3 linked regions of the Astyanax mexicanus genome follow. The protein of the gene in region 1 purifies or fractionates together with the protein of each later gene. This does not show direct contact. Links are inferred from orthologs where the notes say so. Each region holds a gene or a part of one and is shown in the gene's direction. Other genes may lie near its edges.

Region 1 (7,807 bases):
CAGACTCCCTAAGGCAGCACTGGGCAGCTCCTTCAGGCTGCTTCCTCCTGCTGCTATTCGACTCTACATCCTGCACTGCATTCCAGCTTACTCCCGCTACACACTCAAAGAATATAGATTTTGTAAGATATTTCTCTGTTACCCCTGTGCAACTAAGAGGCAATTTACAATTATTTGTAAATACAGTCCTAAGTGTTATTTACTTTTTATTTTTTATATTGTATATAATGTTTATTTGATCTTTTCGCTGCTGTATTATTGTAAATTTCCCCACTTATCTTATCTTTAACCTCCTCCTCAAGCATATAGCAATGAAATATTTTGTTTATTTTATTTTGGTGAAACTTATCACCCAAAAAGATGGTTTCCAGCGAAAGTCTGAGTATTGCTGGTTTAGGGCAGTGATAAAAATGACCCAAAAGAGATCCCAGTTTTTTTAATTATGCACTTCTGCCAAATGAGACAATATGTTGAAGCAAATTCAGAACTCTCATTTATATATTACATTTTTTATTATATTTATTTATGGTGTATAATGTTTAAACATTGATGAATTCCATTAATCAAATTGTTTGAACCGATGATATACTGATATATAATGATATCTGATGACCTTCCAAATTTTGACCAAAAACAAACTGCATGAATGAAGTGATTTATGGATGAACTTAAAAGGCATACTATTGAACTGTACAGTGAACTCTAGCAAATGTTTTACTCTAGCATAGCTCTGCTGATTGATAGAGACGGCACAATCAGGTTGGGTTAAGTTTAACACCTTCTAAACAAAGATACAAAAAGCTGAGCAGATGTTAAACGGTTAAAGTCAGAATGGGAAATGAAAAACAACAAATATTGCTAAACAGTGTCTCATTGGATGGTTTTGCCTATTATAGTTGCTCTCTAGCTAAAATAGGCCTACAATGTACAGTTTTATTTATACAATTAAAAACGCCACCATTGTTCATTATAATTATATAAACAGAGAATAAAGTTATATTGCTTTTTTAGGTTTACTTCATATGTCCTTTATCCAATTATCTACAGGTGCAAATGTGCCTTACTTCTGTTGAACAGAGTGTAATCAGAGAGTGTGTTGACAGGCCTAGTATTTTGAGACCAGCTCAGGAGTGTCAGCCTTCCCAGCTGTAAAACTGAATAATTCAGATTGGATGTAGGAGAAAGCCTATTACAGAGAAGGTTATCTATAATGTATTGGGGTTGGGCATTTGCTTTGTATTCAGTATTGAATGGTGGCATATTAAGTTAAATGTAGGGCATATACAATAGCATAACTGTAAAAAAAAGTAAAATAAGTGAAATCAGTTTCATAATCTCTACTTACATAAAATGAATATCAGCAGCTGTGTACTCACATATACTGTATTAAAGTTATCTTACTCGTTTTTTTTTTTTACTTACTTCCCTGGGTAAATTATGTTTTATTTGGATGTGTAAATATATAAACAAAGCTGTAGCACTTTGGAGATATGACATCCCAGATAGTTTAAAGAACATTAATATTGTAACCACTCAAATCACTCAGAAGAAGGAAAAACATTTAAAAATGTTTAAAATCTCTTGTATAGTTGACTGATCAGCTATGACCAGTAAGAGCACATAAGAAAAACACCATCTAATTACAACACAAATCATTTTGAGTGATCTCTTCACTTTAAGGCCAATATAAAAAAAGATATTTCCTTAATATAAAGACTTAGACAGGATCCCTGACTGTTGGAGAGTAAAGATACACAAGCCTTACTGTAGTATATGGCAGTATTAAGCAGCAAATGCACAAAGTATATGGCAAAATGATTTTCAATTTACACAGAGAACACTTCCTACGCATTACATGTTTCACATTTATCATCACAGGCCGCAAATCCTTAACAGTAATATGTAATTTTATGTAGGACATACATTTTTGTTCTTTTCTTAATTACTGGTCAGTATAGAGGACTTTGGACTGCTTTCATACATAATGATATTTTCTCTATATGCTTTAGTAATTTAGTCAATCAAGATGTTAACGGTTAACAAAGCTTGCTGTGTACTTATACACTTTATCACGGTTAGAGTTATTTATACTTAATTTGATGTAAATTTATATTTGTAGCTGTACATAAAATGCTAAAATAAAATGGTTAGGTATTTTAGTTGTGATCCTGTAGGGCTGGAGTTTCTGCGCAATATACAGTCAGATACAGACCACAGCAGTAGATTCAAAAGTGTAGACTATAGCCAAAAAGTAATTGGACAACAAGTAGTTTAATGACAGGTTAAGGACATGAAAGGAGTGGAGTTGATTCCAAGTGATGAATTTGCATTTAGAAGCTGTGCAGGGAAACTCTCAATCTGACAGCTAACGAGTTGTTGATGCAAATGAAGTAAGCCACCATTCAGCTGAAACAGTAAAACAGTAATCTATCAAACAACAGAAACTAGTTGTAAAGGTAGAAAATAGAATGCACCGGTGACCTTAGCAACACCTGGTAGACCACGTAATATTTATAAAGTAATGTAGATGAAGCAGAACTCCTTTCAACTCTCAGGCCCTCCTCACTACATCCTGCCAGGTCAAGAAGCAAGGCAAATCACTGTCAAAGACTAAAATCAGGAGATGTCGTAATTAATTTTCATACTTTTCTAAATGTTCTGAGCCTGCTCATTTTCCTCTGTTGTGCATATCTATGGTGATTAAATACTACTTTTTATCTCTTTCAGTTTACTGTAAATGCTCAATTACACTGAAAATGGGGGTCAATCTACACAAATCAATCTACCAGTCAAAATAAAGGTTGATTGAAATTGTAAACCACAAGTCATACTCAGCAACAGACATATGTTAAACAACAGATTTAAATGCTAAAAACCAGACCATTTGGCCAGATGAAACCAAATTAACCTGAATATAGAAGCAGATAATGGGATTTACATGTAGTGTACCATAAACAATCTTATTTACATTCAGCAAATGTAAAGCAAAAGGATTGAAAAATATCAATGCGTGCTGCATCTGGGCCATAGAAGCACATTTGTCCCACTTCTAATCCATCACTTCAAGTGGTATGTGGACCATTAGAAAATGCCAGATGTGGCCCAGGATCCGTCCACAAGTTATCCACTTCCGCCCTCTGCTGTTCAGCCTCATATACTGACACAAATACACTAGACTTCAGATCTGAATGATTACACATGAAAGCATCATTATCAAATCATTATTTAAATATTCCACAATATTAGTATCGCAATATTTCTACAATTCTACAGAATCATATTTTGTAAAAAGTCATTTAGAGTGGCTGTCTAGTCTATTTTAATCTAATGCTTTCACATAGCAACTTCATGCTTCATGTGAACAATCCAAAACCAACAGCGGCAGAGGAAAATTTCCTTCAAAGCTGTAGGCGTTTCTGATAAAAACTAGCTTTCTGATCATGGAAGTAAATATGTTTGATTTAAAATAATGTAATGCACCAAAATATAAAAAATAATAATTAAAAGTAACAAAATCGGCATATTTAAAGTTCAAAGCTTTAAAGTTTAAACTTTAATGTAGAAGGTAAAATCTGAAGATCATGATAAAGGGTAAAGGGTATCTGCTATATAAAAATGATGTAGAAAATACAAGCCGCTGTGTTAGTTTATGAAAATGTGAGTTTGTAGAAAATTAACGTTTCTACTATTTTAAACTCAATATTATAAATGGACATGCTTACAGTATCTAACATCCCATGAGCGAGGCTTTATAGTAAATTAGTATACTATATGTGTCTACTTATAGCAACCGCAGAAAAAAGGAGACTGACAAGGCGGACACAGGGGAAGGTTTTGATGGGCATTTCACGGATGGCTAACAACAAGGCGAGAGGTGAAAGTACTCCAAGCACTGTCTGCTGCTCCTTTTCTCTCACCTTCATTGTCACATTCTTCACTAAAGAGGTTCAGTGACAACAGGAGACTCATTTCAGATGAAGAAAAAATGCTATTAAACAAACTGGGAAAGGATGTTACTCTCAGAGTGGCGATCGAAATGAAAAGACAGGATGAATATCCAGGACTTCAGAGCGAGGTGTTTGAAGGAATGCACAAGCTGTTCTCAGTGAGACAGTGGAACCAAAAAGAAAAAAAAAGAAGGGGAAAGACCCGCACAGACGGGTTAGCCTCTTAAACACTCCATTAGTGTGGCTGAGTGGCTTTCTGAAGAACTGCACAAAAGCAAGTGTATAGAAATAAAAAGACAAGACTTTTCATTTGGTTAGCTGGCTAGGATTGAGCAAGATGAATCAGTCAGATCTCTGCTGGTGTGCAGTGACTCGAGTAGGATTTTACTGTAAAATAGTAAAAATTGGATGTAAACTCTGTGCTACAGTTTGTGTGTGTGCTGTGTAGGCTTTGCTGGTTTATGCACTGTGTTATCTAAAGGGTAAAAAATACAAAAAAGAAGACTTTTATCTTGTGCTAATTTAAATGCTTTAAAAGCTAGCTAATGTTTTGTAGTAAATATTCCAGATAGAATAATAACTATAAGCATTAATGGAGTCTCTATAAAGAAGAGCTGCATAAAGGAATAAAATCATCCTCTGTTTTATCTGTTCCTCATTTTTGTGTTTTATTCTGGATTCACCAGCGTGGTGAGCAGACCGCGGAGAGGGGTTGATTGAAAATGAAGCCCTATAGCAACCGCGCAGCCAATGGAAGAACGGCAAGATGTTTACAAGGGGGTGTTCCGTTGCTAACGGTTACCGGACAGCCCTCGTGCAGCAGGTATTAAAGTGCCCCCCGGTCAGAGGGCCCCGGAGACCTGAAACTGCGCAGCGACGTCATCTCACGGAATTTCAGCGAGTCGTTAACTCAAGCTAACACGGATAAAAACACCATCTGCGGCCTTTTGGATGATTTTTTCGGTAATTTCCAGTTAATCAAAACAGGTGAGCTTCAGGATGAGTGGGATTTCGGGCATTAGAGTTTATTGCTATAAAAAGGGGTTTTCTGTTTTGAAATTCCGAATTGTTATAATTAACATTCTCCATCACTAAGAATACATCATTAATAAATATCACAGAAACGATCACAGGTGTCTGTTAGCTCTTATAGTGATGTAAAGGTGGTGTCTTGGGGTATTTTGTGCTTGTCTAATGTTTATATTATAAGGCTCTATATATATTTAAGGCATATCTATATATATACTCATAAAGTTACTGTTATTTCTGTCATACATCTAATTTAGGCCAGTCTGTTAAATTGATCATTTATGGCCAACAGTATCAGTATCCCTGTTTAAGTGTAGTAAAATCCACCTGCCACAGTGAAAGATGGCACGGCGAGTTGAGCCTTTTTCAGGAACATTCTCTGAAGGCCAGTCAGCTGTGGAATTTAAAGGGGGAGCTTTTTTGGCAGCTAAATGGCTCTAACCCACCCACCCCCATATAATCTACTACTTATACTACTATTTTATAGTTTCATCTATGCTGCTTTGGCGTGTTGCAGCTCATCCTTGCAATGACATCCTACCTCATGCATGATTAAAGCAGGCTGTGGACTGACTGACTGCCGCTGCTATTTTGTCCTTGTGCAGGTTTTGGCTGGGGAGGTGCGGGGAGAGGTTAACAGAGGGCTATGCTGTCCATGAGCTGCGCAGACTCTTGGCCCGAGGGCTCTGTGGGGCTGGAGGAGCAGGTGGTGACAGCTGCTGCTCAGGTCGAAGATCTGGACGAGAGCTCTTTGGCTTATAGCAACTGCACCAGCTCAGACAACCTGGATGATAGCCTCACCAGCCTCCAGTGGCTGCAGGAGTTCTCTATCCTCAATGCTAGTGGAGGGCAACATGTGTCTACCAGCAGCCAGCACCACAGCCCTTTCTTTGGGCAGCAGCTGGGAGCAGAAGCCCCTGCCTCTCCTCTAGCAGGCGACCCTGCATCCATAGGCATGCCGCTGACCCCAGGTAAGCCCATTGCGGCGTCCTTTTGCCGGGTGCCCTCCCTGTCGGCTTTGCCCAGCTTGGTGGCACATGGCCACTGCCCAGACGAGGTAGACTACAAGACCAACCCTCACATTAAGCCACCTTACTCATACGCAACCCTGATCTGCATGGCCATGCAAGCAAGCAAGAAAAGCAAAATCACTCTCTCATGCATCTATAAATGGATAACTGACAACTTCTGCTACTTCCGCCATGCTGACCCCACCTGGCAGGTGAGTTATTGCTCCTTAAATCTCGTTCTTAACAAACTTTACAATCAAATTTTAACAGAGATATTTAAATGTGATATTAATGATATTAAATGTGTAGTACTTGAAGGTATAATGTCAAAAACAAGGATAAAGAAAGAAGGTAAATGGTTTTGTAAAATGGAGTTAATATTACTTTCATACATAATCTCACATGAATGTCACACATGAACTCTAAAGTATGAGCAGTAAAATATAAGACCCTTTAATTTTGACACACTAGAATGAAACTAAATGTTCATTAGAGTTAGAGTAGTGTACATTCGAGGGAGAAACCCTCTACATCTTCCTGGAGGACTCTCTGTGTTGGAGAGTAAACAACTTCTGCTTAGCACAATGATTTTCCTCTACAGGAACCCTCCAGAGAGCTTGTTTTCTTTTATTCTGAGACTTTGTATTTGGGAAATTATTGGATAGCTGCCACACAGTGAAATAGTATTAGCAACTAAGCAGTATAGTTAATTATGAGAGCTAGAGGTTAGGGATGGCAGCACACGGGGTATGTAACTACACTGAAATGACTACAATTACATGTTTTAACCTACCCTAATAGACAGATAGACAGTGAAAAGAAGAGAATGGGATGTTTTCTGATATAAACATATATAATGTGTATAAAGTTTATTTACAGTAAAAAGGGTGGTTTTAAGGAAAATGGTTGGTAAATGATTAATTAACCCTGTAGCCTTTCTGAGGACAACTGAGACGTTTCCTCCAGTTTCAGTTATTTTAACCCGCAACCTTAACAAACAATGTTTAACCAAGGTCAAAGGGTCAGTGCTTCATTTAAATATAAGTGCTTTGTGGTATTTGGCCAGTCTATTGTGGTATTTATGAGGTTCAGGATGTGCAAAAGCCTTTTAGAATGGATCTCAAGTGTGCAGTTCTTGCTCTAAAGAAGAGAAGCTGATACTGAATGCATTGATTAGCACATTTATTCATATAAGACTAAGACTAACTATAAGACTAAGACTAACATTATGGTGCTTTTGTCTTCTATCTTAATGTATTATTGCAGAATTCAATCCGACACAACCTCTCACTGAACAAGTGCTTCATTAAGGTTCCGAGGCAGAAAGACGAGCCAGGAAAGGGAGGTTTCTGGAAGATCGACCCCCAGTATGCTGAGCGTCTACTCAGTGGGGCCTATAAGAAGCGGAGGACACCTCCGGTACAGATTAACCCAGCTCTTCAAAACCACCTCAGGATGAACTCACAACCAACTGTGCCAACAAGTGTCCCAGGAGGACTCTGTGTTAGCGCTGAGTCCCAGCAGCTCCTGAAAGAGTTTGAGGAAGCCACTGGTGTTGACCAGAACTGGGACCCTCGTCTTGCCGAAGCCACAATGTTTGGTTGCTGGGGCCCTGCAAAGGGCCACAAAAGAAAACAGCCATATGGGCATAGAACTGGTGGTCCCAAAGCCTTGCGCCGCTCTAGCTCGCCATTTCTGGCCATAGAGGAACCAAAGGATCTAGACTCCCTCAAGAGCAACTTTGACTGGGATGCCCTGCTCGATTCAGCACTGAATGGGGAGTTGAGCCTGAATGAAGGTGGCCCACTGAGTCCAATCACA
Region 2 (7,367 bases), on another chromosome or scaffold:
TGCAGTTAGGTCGTCCTGCACAGCAGTCGATGCCCCAGCATCCAAATCCACTCTGGGATGCACTGCATGAGTCGAAACTAGAGTAAAAATGAGATAAACATGCAAATCATTTAAAAAATAATAGTTGAAGAAGCACAGATATGGGAATAGTGGAACAATGTTGATATGCAATATAGTGTACTAAGTTCCTTTCAGGGCTGTGCAATATTCAGAATTCAAACCAATTCAATAAATGAATATGAATGTTAATTTAATCCACCCTACAGCAGGTTGAACTGAATTTGAATTTGCATTACAAGAAGTGGAATTAAACTCAGCAATTTAGAGACATTTATTTTTATCATATATCAGTGGGAATGTGATACTTTTAACAATGTAAAAGTACAGACATTAACATTAGGCATACAGCCACTTTAATGAACAAGCACAGATGTCTTTTTACATGCATTATTATTTTGCAGATTGCTATAAATACAAAAATTACCCTTTCTGTCCCTCAATTAACTTCATTCACTTTATTGTGTGCCATCAAAATGGCCTAAATGTTTGAACAACTATATTAAATACCTGGATAAAGCAAGGTGTTCTGGGAAATTAAGCATTGTCAATTTCTACAATTTAAAGGTTATTACAATTTTAATAGCCTGTTTTATAGAGTATGATGTAATCATACATTTGTGGCCCATGCAAAAAGATCTGTATGACATTCATGTTGTAATCACATGTCATGTACTGAAAAGCTTTGTTTTTAAATAAACCTGAATTATGTATTATGAATTTCTTTGAATTTCATTTCATTTTAATTCTACTTCCTGCTAAAAAAAATAATTGCACTTCAGCTTCTAGTTTGCAACCTCAAGTGGAATTTAGGGATCATTCTCAATTCAAATAGAGAAATATTGTACAACCATGCTTCCTATTATATTTCATCTGTAATTCACCTGTATTGTATGAGGCCAGTATCCTGTAGTTCTGTGGGAGATACCCAGAGTGGACAGGGCATGCCTTGCATACACATGTGGCTGTGGAACCAACCAGCCAGCACCACCCAGGTCTCCTTCTCCTTTAGAGGTAACTCTACAGGGGATCAAACTCTGCACAAAGACCCCTCGGTGACCATATTCATAATGCAGGGTGCGACTGAAGTGGTCAAGGAAAGCCTAGTGGGGGGGAAAAAAAAGACATATTTTACCCAAAGGAACAATTTATTTTTAAGGGCTATTACACACAGAGTTGGCAGTATATTTTGTATAACTAACTACTTTATAGCTGCAGTCATTGACCGCTTAGGTTTCAAAGTTTTTACTAAAGTTACTGAATGTGCATTCTTTCACAATTTTGTCCCCCTTCTTTATCCCATTAATTAATGCAATGTAATCAACACAGAGAACAGATATCATTTGAGTGGTAGACCATTTTATCACACAAATAATGATACATGTGGGTCGTGGTCATCATGTGAGTGGGTCGTGCTGCTGTGACAGAATCAGACAGACTGGTGCTTGTGAACACAATTTACATTTTTTTGCAAAACATGCTACAGTATGACTGTTTTTAACAGTTAAACACGTGAATATAAACTGAAAATCAACACATTAGGGTCAACATCAAAAAACCAGTGGTCCGAGGAAATCGATATGGACAGAAACGTGTTTCCTAATATTTTGGTGTACCTAATTTCAAATCTAAACCAGTGTTTCTTCATTCTGGTCTTGGAACACCACTGTCCTGTAGGTTAAAGAGTTGATGAGGTGAACTAGATTCTCACCTCTTTAACTTTTAGTAGTTTTTACATTTTTTAGACAATGTTTGAAAAGTCAATCACCCAAAAGCCCCTTTTTCCATACTGTGTTTTCTCAGCCTTCACAATGAATAATACTGCTGCCACTTAGTGTGTCTTTTTTGCTACTCAGTGGGGGTTACCACAGTGACCTCCACCAACTGTGACATCACATACACACCATCTAAATACTGGCAATTTTGTGTACATTTAGGACAGTCAAATAAAACAGGACCGAAAGTCAAACCATAATCCTTAGGAATCTGACTGTTAGAACACATAGTAGTTAATGCATAATAAATCTAGGGGTTAAATTGTGCTTAGGACACTATTGTAAAACATGAACAATTTGATCACTGACCATGGATGCAGAAAGCACAGCCTTCCTTGAAGTGGGCTTGGAACATCCTTCAGATGAGATATTAACCACAGCGCCTCTTTGTCTCTCTGCCATGCCAGGCAGAGCCAGACGGGTCACCAGGGTGGCCGTGGTGACATTATTGTTTAAGATGTGCCAAACGGTGCCTTCAGACAAGTCAAGAAAGTCTCTGAATACATTGTGGGATGAATCCAGACAGTTCACAACAAACCCTATGTCCTTGTCTCCGATGGCATCTTTAATAGGTTTACACACTGAGAGACCATGTGTGAAATCTGCTTCAACCAAAATGGCCTCCACCCCATGGACATCTGAAATAGACTTTGCTACATCATTTACACTGCGGACATCTGGGCTTATCAGGATGATGCACACACCATGTCTGGCCAGTTCCTCAGCATATGCTTTGGCTATGGCCTCTGATGCACCTGCATGAGAATAAAACAGAGCCAACATGAGAATACATCGTTTTTATCATTCAGACTAATGCAGAAGATAAACAGTCAGTAGGTGCAGTGATGGACAGTAACAAAGTAAATGCAATTTTTTACTATCCTTAAGTAGTTAAGTGTATTTGTTTATCTATACTTTCTCCACTACATCACAGAGTCAAATATGCGCAAACAGTATGTGTATGAAAATTTAAAAATTAAACGCAAGCACAACACATATACAGCACAGTACATAGCCACACAGTAAAAGTATATAGTGGAATGTTAGTTTAACAGTGTACATTTTTTTAAACGTACCTAAACCCACATACAAGAAGGGAAATTTGAAATATAGAGATTCAGTATAGTAAAAACCTATTGTAAACTTTTTTTAAGAATGTTATTAGGTTTACAATAAAAAAAAGAATGGTGAATGGTATCTCTAGCTACTTTTTACATGCTGGCCAATCAGTTTGGTCTTGCAGGTCATGTTTTTCATTGTGTTCAACCACCTTGGTCTTGCTGGTCAAGCATCTTGGTTATGTTGGTCCTCCAATTTGGTCTTGCTTGTCAACAGTCTTGGTCATGTTTCGTCAGCCAGCTTAGCCTTGCTGGTGAAGATGCATAAGCCTTTTCTTGTTGGTTAATCACTTTGGTCTTGCAAGTCATGCTGGTCTCCAGGTTGGTCTTGCTGGTCAACAGTCTTGATCATATTGGTCTGGCAGTTTGGTCTTGCTGGTTAAGATGGTCAACAAGATTTTTCTTGCTAGTCAACCACTTTGGTTAGTTTTAGTTTTGGTTTATGCTGATCAACCAGCTGGATCTTGCTGGACAAGCTGATTAATCGGCATGGTCATACTGGTGGTCTAGCTTGGTCGACCATGTTTGAAAACCAGTGAAGCCTTTAAAACACAAAATCTAAAACATCTTCCTGACCAGTTGGAGCAGGCCATGCTGATTTTTTTTTTTGAGCAGGTACATTATTTGTGCACTTTGTCCATCACTAATAGGTGTTAACTGTCACTTGTGTAAACTTACCACTAATGACAGCCCATTTGCCATACTGGTGAACCAGATCTCGGGGGTGAACGAGCCTGGGGATGAAGTGAAGCCGCACCAGGCTGTAACAGTCCCGCACGAGCACAGCAGCTTTGCTCGCTGTGTACAAAGCTCCCACTAATGCCAGGGTCTCCACATAACAGCTACAGGATCTGGCGATTTCTCTGTACAGAAACTGGAAGCTATCAACAGCAGCCATAAGAGGAGAATTACTGATAGCTAACTTTAGCTAACTAATAAGCAAACGAGCCTGTTTAAATCTAATACTGAACAAACCCCACTAAACCGAGCACACAGCCTACCGGGCGAGCTGGGCTCTCTCTCTTTCAGCCTCTATTTAACAGGTGTGAGGTTTTAAACTGACTGTTTACACTGATGAATGATCCAGACTTTTCCTGCACCGTTTCACAGCCTGAACACAACACAAACACACACGCAGAGCCGACAAAAGGTCACGTGACTCTTTCTCAGCCATTCTTTTAAAGGGACCGATAGTTGTTTTTTGTAACAGCACTTTTCGTGTACAAATTATAGTGCAAAAAATTATCTTCGTAAAAATATACATATCATGTTGTTTTTAGAATATTTTGTCGCATAATTATTTTTTTTATATTACAATATTTGTAACATTTGCTATAGTCGGTGGAGCGCACTCTGATTGGTCAGCTTGCTGTTTCTATAGTGACGCCGGTTGTGTGCGGACAGGCTCTCTCTGGCAGTGGTTAGGAGATTAGCTTGTGCTCAAACTCCGCTTTTTCAGCTCCGTTAAAAGATTTTCTACCTTCTAAAGGGTTTTTTTTCACATCTTCTCGGATGAAATGAACCTTGGTCAGGTAGTTTACGCCGTTCCGCGTTCTGTCTGTGTGTTAATTTAGCTTAGCAGCTAGCTAATTCCAAGACACAGCAGACTGTTAATAAAAACCGGTGTTCTGTCGAATATGGCTACCCGTCGATATGTGCTTCTTACTACCAGTGCGCAAGCGCTTATTCGCAAGTTTCGGGTTTCATGTGTTTTTACGGTAATTATGTTATACGTGGGGGCATTAAACAACCGGAGCGTCCTGTCATCATTTGTATTTGTATTATGTGAATGGCAGTTAATAATTAAAGTATAACGCAAGTAATAATACGACCATGAAAAAAAATCAAAACACGTTAAATCACCCGTTTAACTCTTTTAACCGTACCCTGACATATTGATTCAGATTTTCCAAAAATCAAATCGAGACTTTTTAGCGAGCATTTTTAAATATATGGTGCTATTTCTGGTATTTCTATGTTTAAATACACACAAGGGTATCACAGTTTGTCAAGGTAGCACAAATCGACAGAACACCAGTTAGCTAGCGTATCATTATACTTACCCGGCTACTGTTCGCTGCTGTTATGCTTTTTGTAGTCACTGCCTATATATCTATAGTGAAGGACTCAATGACATTGTTAACGTCTCTGGATATTATAACTACTGAACTGTTTAACTAGCTGTGTGTGATAGCTGGCTAGTCAAGAAACCTAGGTTAGCTAGCTGTCTGTTACCTACACTCGCCTGTTATTCACAAACAGCTCCTTCTTAGCTCAAATACCATTATTATTGTTAACTAACTAACGTGCTAAATAACGGCTATTAGAGTTAGCATCACACAAAAAAATGCAGCTCAAGACCAGGATTTTGGAAAGCTTGTCATCCATGCCTTCACACATACTGTTCTGCTAAGCTGACAGTTTATCCAGCTCATCACCAGCACACTAAATAGTGCATTTGATTTTACTTGTTCTTGGTCATGAGAGGTCATGCTGGTTGACAAGTCATGCTGGGTCATGGTGGTTAACCAGTTTGGTTATGCTTGGTCACACTGGTTATCTAACTTAGCTAGTGTGGTCAGGTTAATCATGGTTGTAGGCAAGCTAAACCACCCAACTCAACAAAAATACAGCTAACCAAGCAACCAGCTGGACCAGGTTACAGTAGAGATTAAACCCTTTCTCTTTATCTTGGGTTAGATTCATAAGGTTATGGTTAAGGATGGGAACGACATCCTAATGCCTGGCCACAATTTATTATTATTATTATTATTATTATTATTATTATTATTATTATTATTGTTCACACCCTAAATAAGTCATGGCCACACATTAGGATCTTGTTCCCACACCTTATTAAGCCTTGGCCACTCATCAGGATCTCGTTTCCATCCACGCCTTAATAAGTAAATTTTTCTTTCCATGATGTTATCTTAGGGTCTCTGTAGATTCAAGATGTCTGTCTCTAAAAATTTCTGGTTGGTGAATATTTCCAGGTCCTAAAAGCATCAGTGATGATCTGGATGTTGAGTAATGGTTAGTTAAATTCCTAAATACATAATTTGGTGAAAAACAATACACTACTGCAGCAAAATGAATTAGATTTCATTTGGCAAATTTGTTGTATATACTAAATGTTATGGCACATCCCTAATTCAGATTTTTACCTGATTGTAAGAGAAGTCAATGATCCAACTTGTCATGATACTAATAATGCACTCCATATCCAGGACTAAAGTAAACTAAATTATCCTAAAGAGATATAATCTGTTTCTAATAGATATTTAATGGGAAATCAGAACAGTGTGAATTGTCCTTTTGCTACAAACATCAACAATGTGCCAAACAATGCTGCAGCAATACTGCAGAAGACAAATATCCCATTTAATGATATTGTACTTGTGTCTATAGGAAGTCCTTGGTAGAGAAGGGTGCATCACACCCCCTGTGGAGTGATGTCTCAGTTTTCTGCAGAGGATGAGGCTGAGCTCCAGTGCCTGCTGAGGCAGCTTCTAAAAAGTGTAAAAGAGAGAATATCAGGGGCGCCATCAGTGGAATGTGCAGAGGAAATCTTGCTGCACTTGGAGGAGACGGACAAAAACTTTCACAAGTAGGTTTACACACCTTTACCTTGATCAATACATTTTAGTAATTTAAATTCTGTTTTTCCCTCATGCCCATTTTTTACTCTTAGTTATGAGTTCGTCAAGTACCTGCGACAGTATGTTGAGAGCACACTGGGGGCAGTTATTGAAGAGGAGACGGATAACTGTACCAAAGGTGATGGCCATGTCATTGGATCTGGCCAGGACACCCTGGTCCATGCTGTCACCAGAAGAACAAGGGAATCTGCGCAGTATGTGGCCTGCTTAATAACTAACTGAGCAAATACTTAATATATGATATAACAATGAATGGAAGTTTATAGTCACCAGTTTGGATGCTGTCATGTTTTTTAATTAGTATAGATCTTTATTTAGTCGTTTTAATTGTTCATTATATACCTGCACGTAAATACTTGTTGAAGGATTAAACAAATGTGTTATTGTTCAATAGGTATAAACAGATGATGCAGACATTAAAACAGACCATGATGGTTATTGTGGAATCACTAATCAATAAATTTGAGGAGGATCAGTTGAAGAAGGAGGAGATGCATAGGAAAAGCCAACATGAACAGTCAAGCAGCCACTACACAGACAACTGCTCTGACAGTGACTCTTCCTTTAATCAGGTGATGCACGTTTCCTTTGATGAATGTTCAAATCCCCACTACAATATATAATTTCATAGAACCAACCAGAGCACCAGTAAATTTAGTGGTCATGTAATTCACTGTAACTGCATTGTTTTTGTATTGTAGCATACCTTTACTAAACACTTTATAGTTAAGTGGATACAATATTTAAATATGGAT
Region 3 (7,352 bases), on another chromosome or scaffold:
CTGTATATGTACTGTATAAATGATAAATGGTGATATGATATTATATATATATATATATATATGTAGGCACAGGGATTATGATAAATTCTATATTGTTGAATATGCAATAAGGCCGTCACATACTAGACAATGCAACTTTGTCTTTTACCATTGTCTTTAAAGGAGGTGGGCACACCGGTGTCAACACCATATGTTGAAACATAGTTAAAGTTATATAGTTTTATATATATAGTTAAAGTGCTAAAGGACTCACTGAGGAATGGCACTGTTGCAAAATTCCATCCCAAACAACAAAACCTGCTTATAATGAAGATTTATTGTTATTATGAAGTTAATAAAAGTGAGGCCATACAGAATGCCCAGCCTCTTCATTTCCAACAACCGTAACGAAAAACCGAACCGCAGAGTTTATACCAAGGTGTGAATCAAACTGTACATTTTCTGGACTGTTAAACCCTTATTATTCACATTTTTAGGCACACTTAAATTATTTCATCCTCTCCTGCCCCGCCCCTAAACCCATACATCAGCCAAAAAGTGCCCCTCCCTTTTTTTTTGGTTGCATTTTTCCAATTTGAGCTGTAGGTGGAGTCTTTAAGCATGACAGATAGGTTGTATGACACCCTGTAATGCCATTTTAGGAGTGTATTATAAAATGTAGTATACTGTAAGCAAAAAAGAAAAGTTTATTTTAATCATAGAAATGTATAAGGAAATGAATTGTTAGCTAAATATTCATGGTTGTGACACTCCTGTGAGCAGCTGTTAATAAGCAGTGTGTGTGTGTGTGTATGTGTGTGTGGGTTTGCAGTAATGGATCAGCACAGTGTATCAAAGGACGCCTTGGAGAATCAGGACTTTTCGCTGTCAGACGACAACTACCTTCACATACGGTCGGTGGATCGCTGCCCGAGTCAGCTCTCCTGTACCTACAGAGAGGGATAAACACCGGCCAGGAGTAACTCTCGCTCTGCCCTCTGATCACCTGTCTGTACTGATGATTCATTACTGACTTCTTGCTTCTTCTCTTACAGTCACAGACTTACATTTATTAAAGACAGCTGCTCTGGAACCTGAAGTCAAGGATGTTTGTGAATTCTCAAAAACAAAAAAAAACTATGTACATATGGACTGCAGTTCTGTCTTTACCGTTTTTGATTATTTACACAGAGATTATGATGTTCATTTTGCAAGTTTTCTTTTTGTATGATATGAAATTTCATGTGATAAAAGCTGATTCCAACCTGTGAAAAAAACAGAGCATTTGTGATTGTGTGCTTTACTGAAGCACATCGTTTCTGCGGAAGTGAGATTTACTTATTATCTCAAAATAATCACTTGTTTTGATCTATTAAACTGTTGTGTGGTTCCAAATCTCAAATTATACACTTTTTTAAATCGTTGGCTCTGTCTCTCAAAATGCTTTTTTTTTTATTTCTGACATTTTTAAAATTGTTGTACAATTTTGACTTAGTTTTGCAACTCAAAACAGTGATGTTATTTCACAAAATGTTCACTTTAAAACTCAAATTAGTCACTTTTTCATCTCCAGATTTTCTATTTTCTATCTTGTTCAAATTCTTCTGTCTCAAAATAGTGAAATAATTGAATAAAATGACTTATTTTCTTAAATTTTAACATAATATTTATATTTCTCTTCTCAAAAAAATTTGACTTATTTTCTTAATTATCTCAAAATTGTACATAATGTACATAAAATGAATTATTTTAAATTAAATTAAACCTGACCCAATTAAATGCAGTGTGAAAAGAATGAAATGCAATGTCTTAAAGTTCATAGCTCTTTTTTTAAGAACCTGTCAACATTAACATATCTAACCCTGAAGACTTTAATCCAGGCCATCTGGGGTTATTTTGGGAAATTACAGATCATTTATTGTGTATGAATAGGCAAGCTAGGCCACTGACAGATTACATTACTGTTCCCTTCGTAGTAAAACCAGTCCAAATAGGATAAGGCTGTATTCAGAATATGATAAAACTCAGTATTTTGAACATTTGGAAAAAAATCGATTTTTTTATGTTGGTTTTAGAAACAAAGTAATAAAAGATGCCATATTCTCTTCTACATAATGAGTTTTCAGTGGGTTTCTTCCTGGAAGAGCATTCAAACATGAAACAGAAAAGAGATAGAAAAGCTATAATCATCTCATATCTAATACTACAGCATCTGTTTATATCTGTATACTTTAAAACACTGGTAGAGCCAGATCTAAATGCAAAGGTCAATCGTCAAGAGCTGAAAAGGCCAGCAGAAGGAACTGCACAGAAAAGCTGTAATTACTATGTTTAGCATCACTGGTAGCCATGGAGTCCATTTTTTATGTTGTGTCCCAGTTGGGTTTACCAGTGTAATTTGGGAAAGGAGGCACTATAATCATGAAGAATCAGTGGGAATGTGTCACAGGGGTTCGGCTTCCGCCTTCTGGCCAAAACAAGCCCAGTGTCCTCGCTTAAAATGCCCAGATAGATCCATTCTTTGGACCCCTTCTAAAGGAAACAGAATTTTGGATCTCTTAAAAAACTGTGTTCAAATTGTGCAGAAGTCATGCCTAGAATGGATAAAGATAATATAGGTACATAATTTAGGTACACTTATTGAGATAAAAGCACCAAGACTGATTTGTTGGATTCAAATGTATTTTAGAAGTATTTTACACGGTATTGAAAGGAGCGCTAGAAACCTGCTGGGTTCAACTTATTCCTGTCTGGATACAAGATGATATACTGTACATACAGTTGGGAATTATTTGTGTGTGAGATTTTTTGTGAGAGAGATTTTACACATTCTTTTGATATTGGGGATATCAGAATAAAATATCTCACCTGTTGTCTGATAAATTGACTTAAGCTAGCAAAATATTTCTATATTAAACGATAGTTTTAATGTTATAAATACTTTCTGAAGGTTATGAATTATTCGACCACATGGACCATAGATTAGTGTTTAATTGCCGCAGATGTAAGGGGGTGTGCTTCAGCAAATGTGCTGCACTGTTCAGCTAGGATATCAGTTAAATCTAACTAGACTCCCCTCAGAACCGAAGCAAGTATATTATTTAGCTGAGTATCTTCTTATTTTCTTTGCATTCCTTTACTTAAAACAAATATGTTATTGTTCTTAAATTTGTTCAATTCAGTTCCAGGTAGCAGTGATTAAATTAAGCAGAGGAAGAGCACTTATAAACATACAGACTCATTAAACATACAAACTAAGAGATTTGAGTTGTTTTATTATTATTATTTGGGATTAAGCTGATATTTTACCATTTTCTGATTTTTATTTTAGCTTTTTTGCATTTTCATGCAGACCAATCATTCTGAAGTCAAATTTATAAAAATAAAGAAATAAATAAAAAACACCTCATCTTTATTTTTAAGTTCAAAATATATAGCTACCATTAGAAATAATATTGTCCACAGATTTCATAAATCATTGCCTTAATTGCAGAAATATTTGCTTCATAAACTGTTTACAGGGAAGAATTTAATAAAATAAATCTATAAAACTAAAACTAAAAAAAACATATAACTATAAAACTATATTATATTATTTTAACTAAAGTAATAGTTCAGTATGTAGTCATATTTAAGACGCTGGGGTTTTGGGTTCGCTTTTTTTGTTATCTTTACAATTCCACCTTAAATTGCACTGACGCCGACTGTAACTGCTGCGCTGTTTAAGGTGGAACGGGTGAAAAATGAGTGGATTAGCAAGTCTTGTCTAGAAAACGTTTGAGACGTCTTAAATGTAGCTTATAGAAATTAAACATGGATTCTGTCCGTTAGCTTTGTTTTATAGATGATTTAAAGCTAAATACGTGTAAAACTCGTATATATTAGGGATACTTTAGAAGATCTGTATTATATGTGTGGGTCAATAAAGTGAGTGTTTTTTTTCTCCTGCATATTCTTTAACTATGCCTCTTTTGCTTTGATTTTTTTTTTTGTCATCTTCATAATTCCACCTTAAATTGCATTGAAGGATGTTTAAGGTGGAACCGGTGGAAAAATGAAGCGAATAGAGGAAGCCTCGTCTATGATTAGTTCAGAAAACGTCTGAGACGTCTTAAAGACAGCTTATAAAAATGAAACATGAATTTCTGACCGTTTGCTTTGTTTTATAGATGATTTAAAGATAAATAAGTGTAAAAATTTGTGAACTTTTATTCAGCGCGCGCCGATAAGCCCCGCCCCCCTCGCGCTCGCGCTTCCGGCCGGTCCCTCGGTTTCGGGGTTTGGTTGAGGCGGCGCTTTATAGCAACCGTTGCCCCGCGATTCAGCGCCATAGTCACCGTAGTCCTGGCGACTGTAACCCACCAACAACAACAACAACCTCGCGCTCCATCCTCACCGCCTCTGCCATCCTCATCCTCATCAACACATAATCCCACACACTGCAGGTGAATATTACAGCTGATTACTGCTTTTATAGGCTTTATTCCACCATGCATTAGCGCTGCCCGGCGGGCTGGGGTTCTGCTGCTGCGGCTGGTTTGCACTTTTCCCCTGCTGAAGGTTTTCTGCTTTATTGTGAGCTGTGGGTCCATTGTAAAACGTAACTTAGCTAGCCTGCCATACAGCTGTTTAGTTAGCTAGCCTTGCTAGTTATTTTTTCATCTATCTATTTAACGTTATATATCTGTCTATCTATCTATATGTATGTATGTGTGTATTTATATCGCTCTATTTTATTTATATCTAGTTATTTGTGTAACTTACAGCAGTCTTCATATATTTTTTTTTAGGTTTTGTGCTGCTTTGTATTCGGATTTTAACGTTTTTTTTAACATTCACTTGGATTTATTGCTGAACACGCTTGCTTTTAGCTAATTTAGCTTCCTATAAAAATTTAATGATTATTTTAAACGCACCAAAAACAGTCTAGCTAGTTAGATAGGTTAACCTAGCTAACTATCTTATTATGTATTAGCAATATGATATACTCTATCAAGATTATTTGTTCATGCTTATTCAATGTGTCTAACGTTATAGCTAAATATTATATATCCTGTCCATTTTCGCTGATTTATTTAAGCGTTTGGTAGCTTCAGCTTTTATTAGCTAGCGTTAGGTCTGCTCCAGCATCTTTCCTCATCCTCAGAAGCAGGTGTTTCCTCCGGCTAGCCGACACAGTGGTGGCCGGGTGTTCTGCCGTTCTGTGCTACCCGCCGATATGTGCTTCTTACTTGCAGTGCGCATGCGCTGAGCCACTCGTTTTGTCAAAAAAATATTTGAAATTGTTTATTCAATAATATTATTCTTAAGTTTAACCATATTGCATTTTTGGCGCGAGTGTTACAGAAGGTAATTAATCGATTTAATGTAATCGATCATGGCAATTCATAGTAAGATTATAATAATAATCTTAACAGTCAGCTTTATTACTCTGTTAACACTGATTATACAGTGATTTAGGCTTATCCACATTTTCTACCTAGACTTCATTCAGCTTGGGAGCATGTTGTAATATATTTTAATATATTTTTTGTATGTGTGTTTTTACCTTTAAATAAATAATATAACGTTACACTCGGGTAGCACGATTTGACAATGTAGCACAACTCGGCAAAACACCTGGTCAGAGCGAGCTAGCTAACCGCTATTCTTCAACACCTCCAGCCTCGCTAGCGAGCTAAACCACAACCACACCAAACTGGGAGTTGGGTTTTTTTTTGTATTTTTTAACTGCAGAACTGCAAAACTGTTTTAAAGCCGTATCTGATTTTCCGTATTTTTATTAATAGAAGAACTGTGCAGAATTGTGCAGCTGGCTGGCCAACCTGTCTGAATGAGCTAAAGCTAGCTAGCTATGGCTATTCAACGTTAGTCATAATGTTAGCCAGCTAACTATAGTGGTCTTGCACTGATATTAGCAGAATACATTGCATTTGTAAGCTTATTTGTAGCTCACTTGTATACATTTCAGCTTGCTACCTAAATGTGGTTAAAACCCTCCAAACACACAGGTTAGTTAGCTAGCGTTAATGCTAAATGTGCTTTCATTTAATGACTGATACACAATGCTAGCCGGCTAGCGTTACCGAAACCTGCAGCCTATCCATTGTTACCAGCTAGCCACTGGGGGCAAGTGCAGCTAATATTAGTTAGCTAGCTGGATAAATACAGCTCTGGAAAAATTGAGAGAGTACTTCAGTTTCTGAATCAGTTTCTCTGATTTTGTTATTTATAGGTTTATGTTTGTGTAAAATGAACATTGTTGTTTTATTCTATAAACTACAGAAAACATTTCTCCCAAATTCCCCCCAAAAAAATTGTCATTTAGAGCATTCATTTGCAAAAAAAAAAAGAGAAATAACTGAAATAACAGAGCTTTCAGACCTCAAATAAGGCAAAGAAAACAATATTTAGTGGAATAACCCTGTTTTTTAAATACAGTGTTAATGTATCTTGGCATGTTCTCCTCCACCAGTCTTACACACTGCTTTTGGATAACTTTATACAAAAATTATATATATATATATATATATATATATATATATATATATATATATATATATATATATATATATATCTTTTTGCATTTCCATGCAAGGCCAAATACAAAAAAAGTCTATTAAAGAACACCCTATCTCTATTTCTAAGAGCTACCAATGCTACCACGGCTCCCGGTTATTATTATTTTATATTGGTTGATTTGGAGATTGGCTGTTAAGTTGTCTATTATCTTTTCATTGTTTGGACGACTTTATAACTGGACTATATTTCTGTATAGTGTGCATAATTTATTCTTTGTAGTTGCACAGTTTAATGAATGTGACTAGGCTTGTTAATTTTTCTAATCTAACCTAAAATATATGTGCAAAAATGCTTGGAAATGAAGAGCATGTATAGTCAAAATAGGAAAAGGGAAATCTTAACTATTAAAAATAAATGCAAATAAACTATTAAAAATAAATGCAAATAAGTTTCTATTCCATATCTTTTCTGAGAATTTATATTGTCCATTTATTTAATGTAAAGGACAGCTGTGATATATGATAGCTTACTTTCTATTCAGTTTTATCACAGTATTAGCTACTGTATCAGTGATGGCATGAAACCGATATTGATTACCTCTCTTGAGTATCATCAAATAGGTTCTCTTGCTCAAACTTTCTGTTGGGACAATAGTTGGTGTAAGACCTTGCCACTTTAGGACTTTTTATAAATATACTGCCCATCTTTCTACCAGTGTAGTGTGATTCAATGTATTAAATATGGTATTTCTGTGTAATTCTTCATTGATGTTACACATTCTGATTGTATTCTTTCATGCTTAATTTGGAATAGATTTTTTTTTATCTGACATCCAGTCAGATGCCACACTA

The links.
Region 2: the proteins of foxj1a (region 1) and tbc1d32 purify together in Homo sapiens (affinity purification with mass spectrometry; 3 studies listed by BioGRID and IntAct, counting the BioPlex papers as one, with this or other methods). This does not show direct contact. The link is inferred for Astyanax mexicanus from reciprocal best matches to the Homo sapiens genes FOXJ1 and TBC1D32.
Region 3: the proteins of foxj1a (region 1) and rfx3 purify together in Homo sapiens (affinity purification with mass spectrometry; 3 studies listed by BioGRID and IntAct, counting the BioPlex papers as one, with this or other methods). This does not show direct contact. The link is inferred for Astyanax mexicanus from reciprocal best matches to the Homo sapiens genes FOXJ1 and RFX3.

The regions. Positions count from the first base shown.
Region 1 is NC_064426.1:11,593,617-11,601,423, forward strand, and holds the start of foxj1a (forkhead box protein J1-A), read left to right. Parts: upstream 1-4,751; 5' UTR 4,752-4,934; intron 4,935-5,581; 5' UTR 5,582-5,622; coding exon 5,623-6,198; intron 6,199-7,252; coding exon 7,253-7,807. UniProt on the Homo sapiens protein: Transcription factor specifically required for the formation of motile cilia. Acts by activating transcription of genes that mediate assembly of motile cilia, such as CFAP157.
Region 2 is NC_064408.1:81,788,961-81,796,327, reverse strand, and holds the start of tbc1d32 (protein broad-minded), read left to right. Parts: upstream 1-4,327; 5' UTR 4,328-4,482; intron 4,483-5,887; exon of another isoform or gene 5,888-5,986; intron 5,987-6,361; 5' UTR 6,362-6,405; coding exon 6,406-6,560; intron 6,561-6,644; coding exon 6,645-6,806; intron 6,807-7,006; coding exon 7,007-7,184; intron 7,185-7,367. Other genes in the region: hsdl1 (inactive hydroxysteroid dehydrogenase-like protein 1), read right to left, coding at 6-77, 942-1,160, 2,142-2,587, 3,629-3,848.
Region 3 is NC_064427.1:3,554,663-3,562,014, reverse strand, and holds the start of rfx3 (transcription factor RFX3), read left to right. Parts: upstream 1-4,287; 5' UTR 4,288-4,424; intron 4,425-7,352. Other genes in the region: zinc finger protein GLIS3, read left to right, coding at 812-945. UniProt on the Homo sapiens protein: Transcription factor required for ciliogenesis and islet cell differentiation during endocrine pancreas development. Essential for the differentiation of nodal monocilia and left-right asymmetry specification during embryogenesis.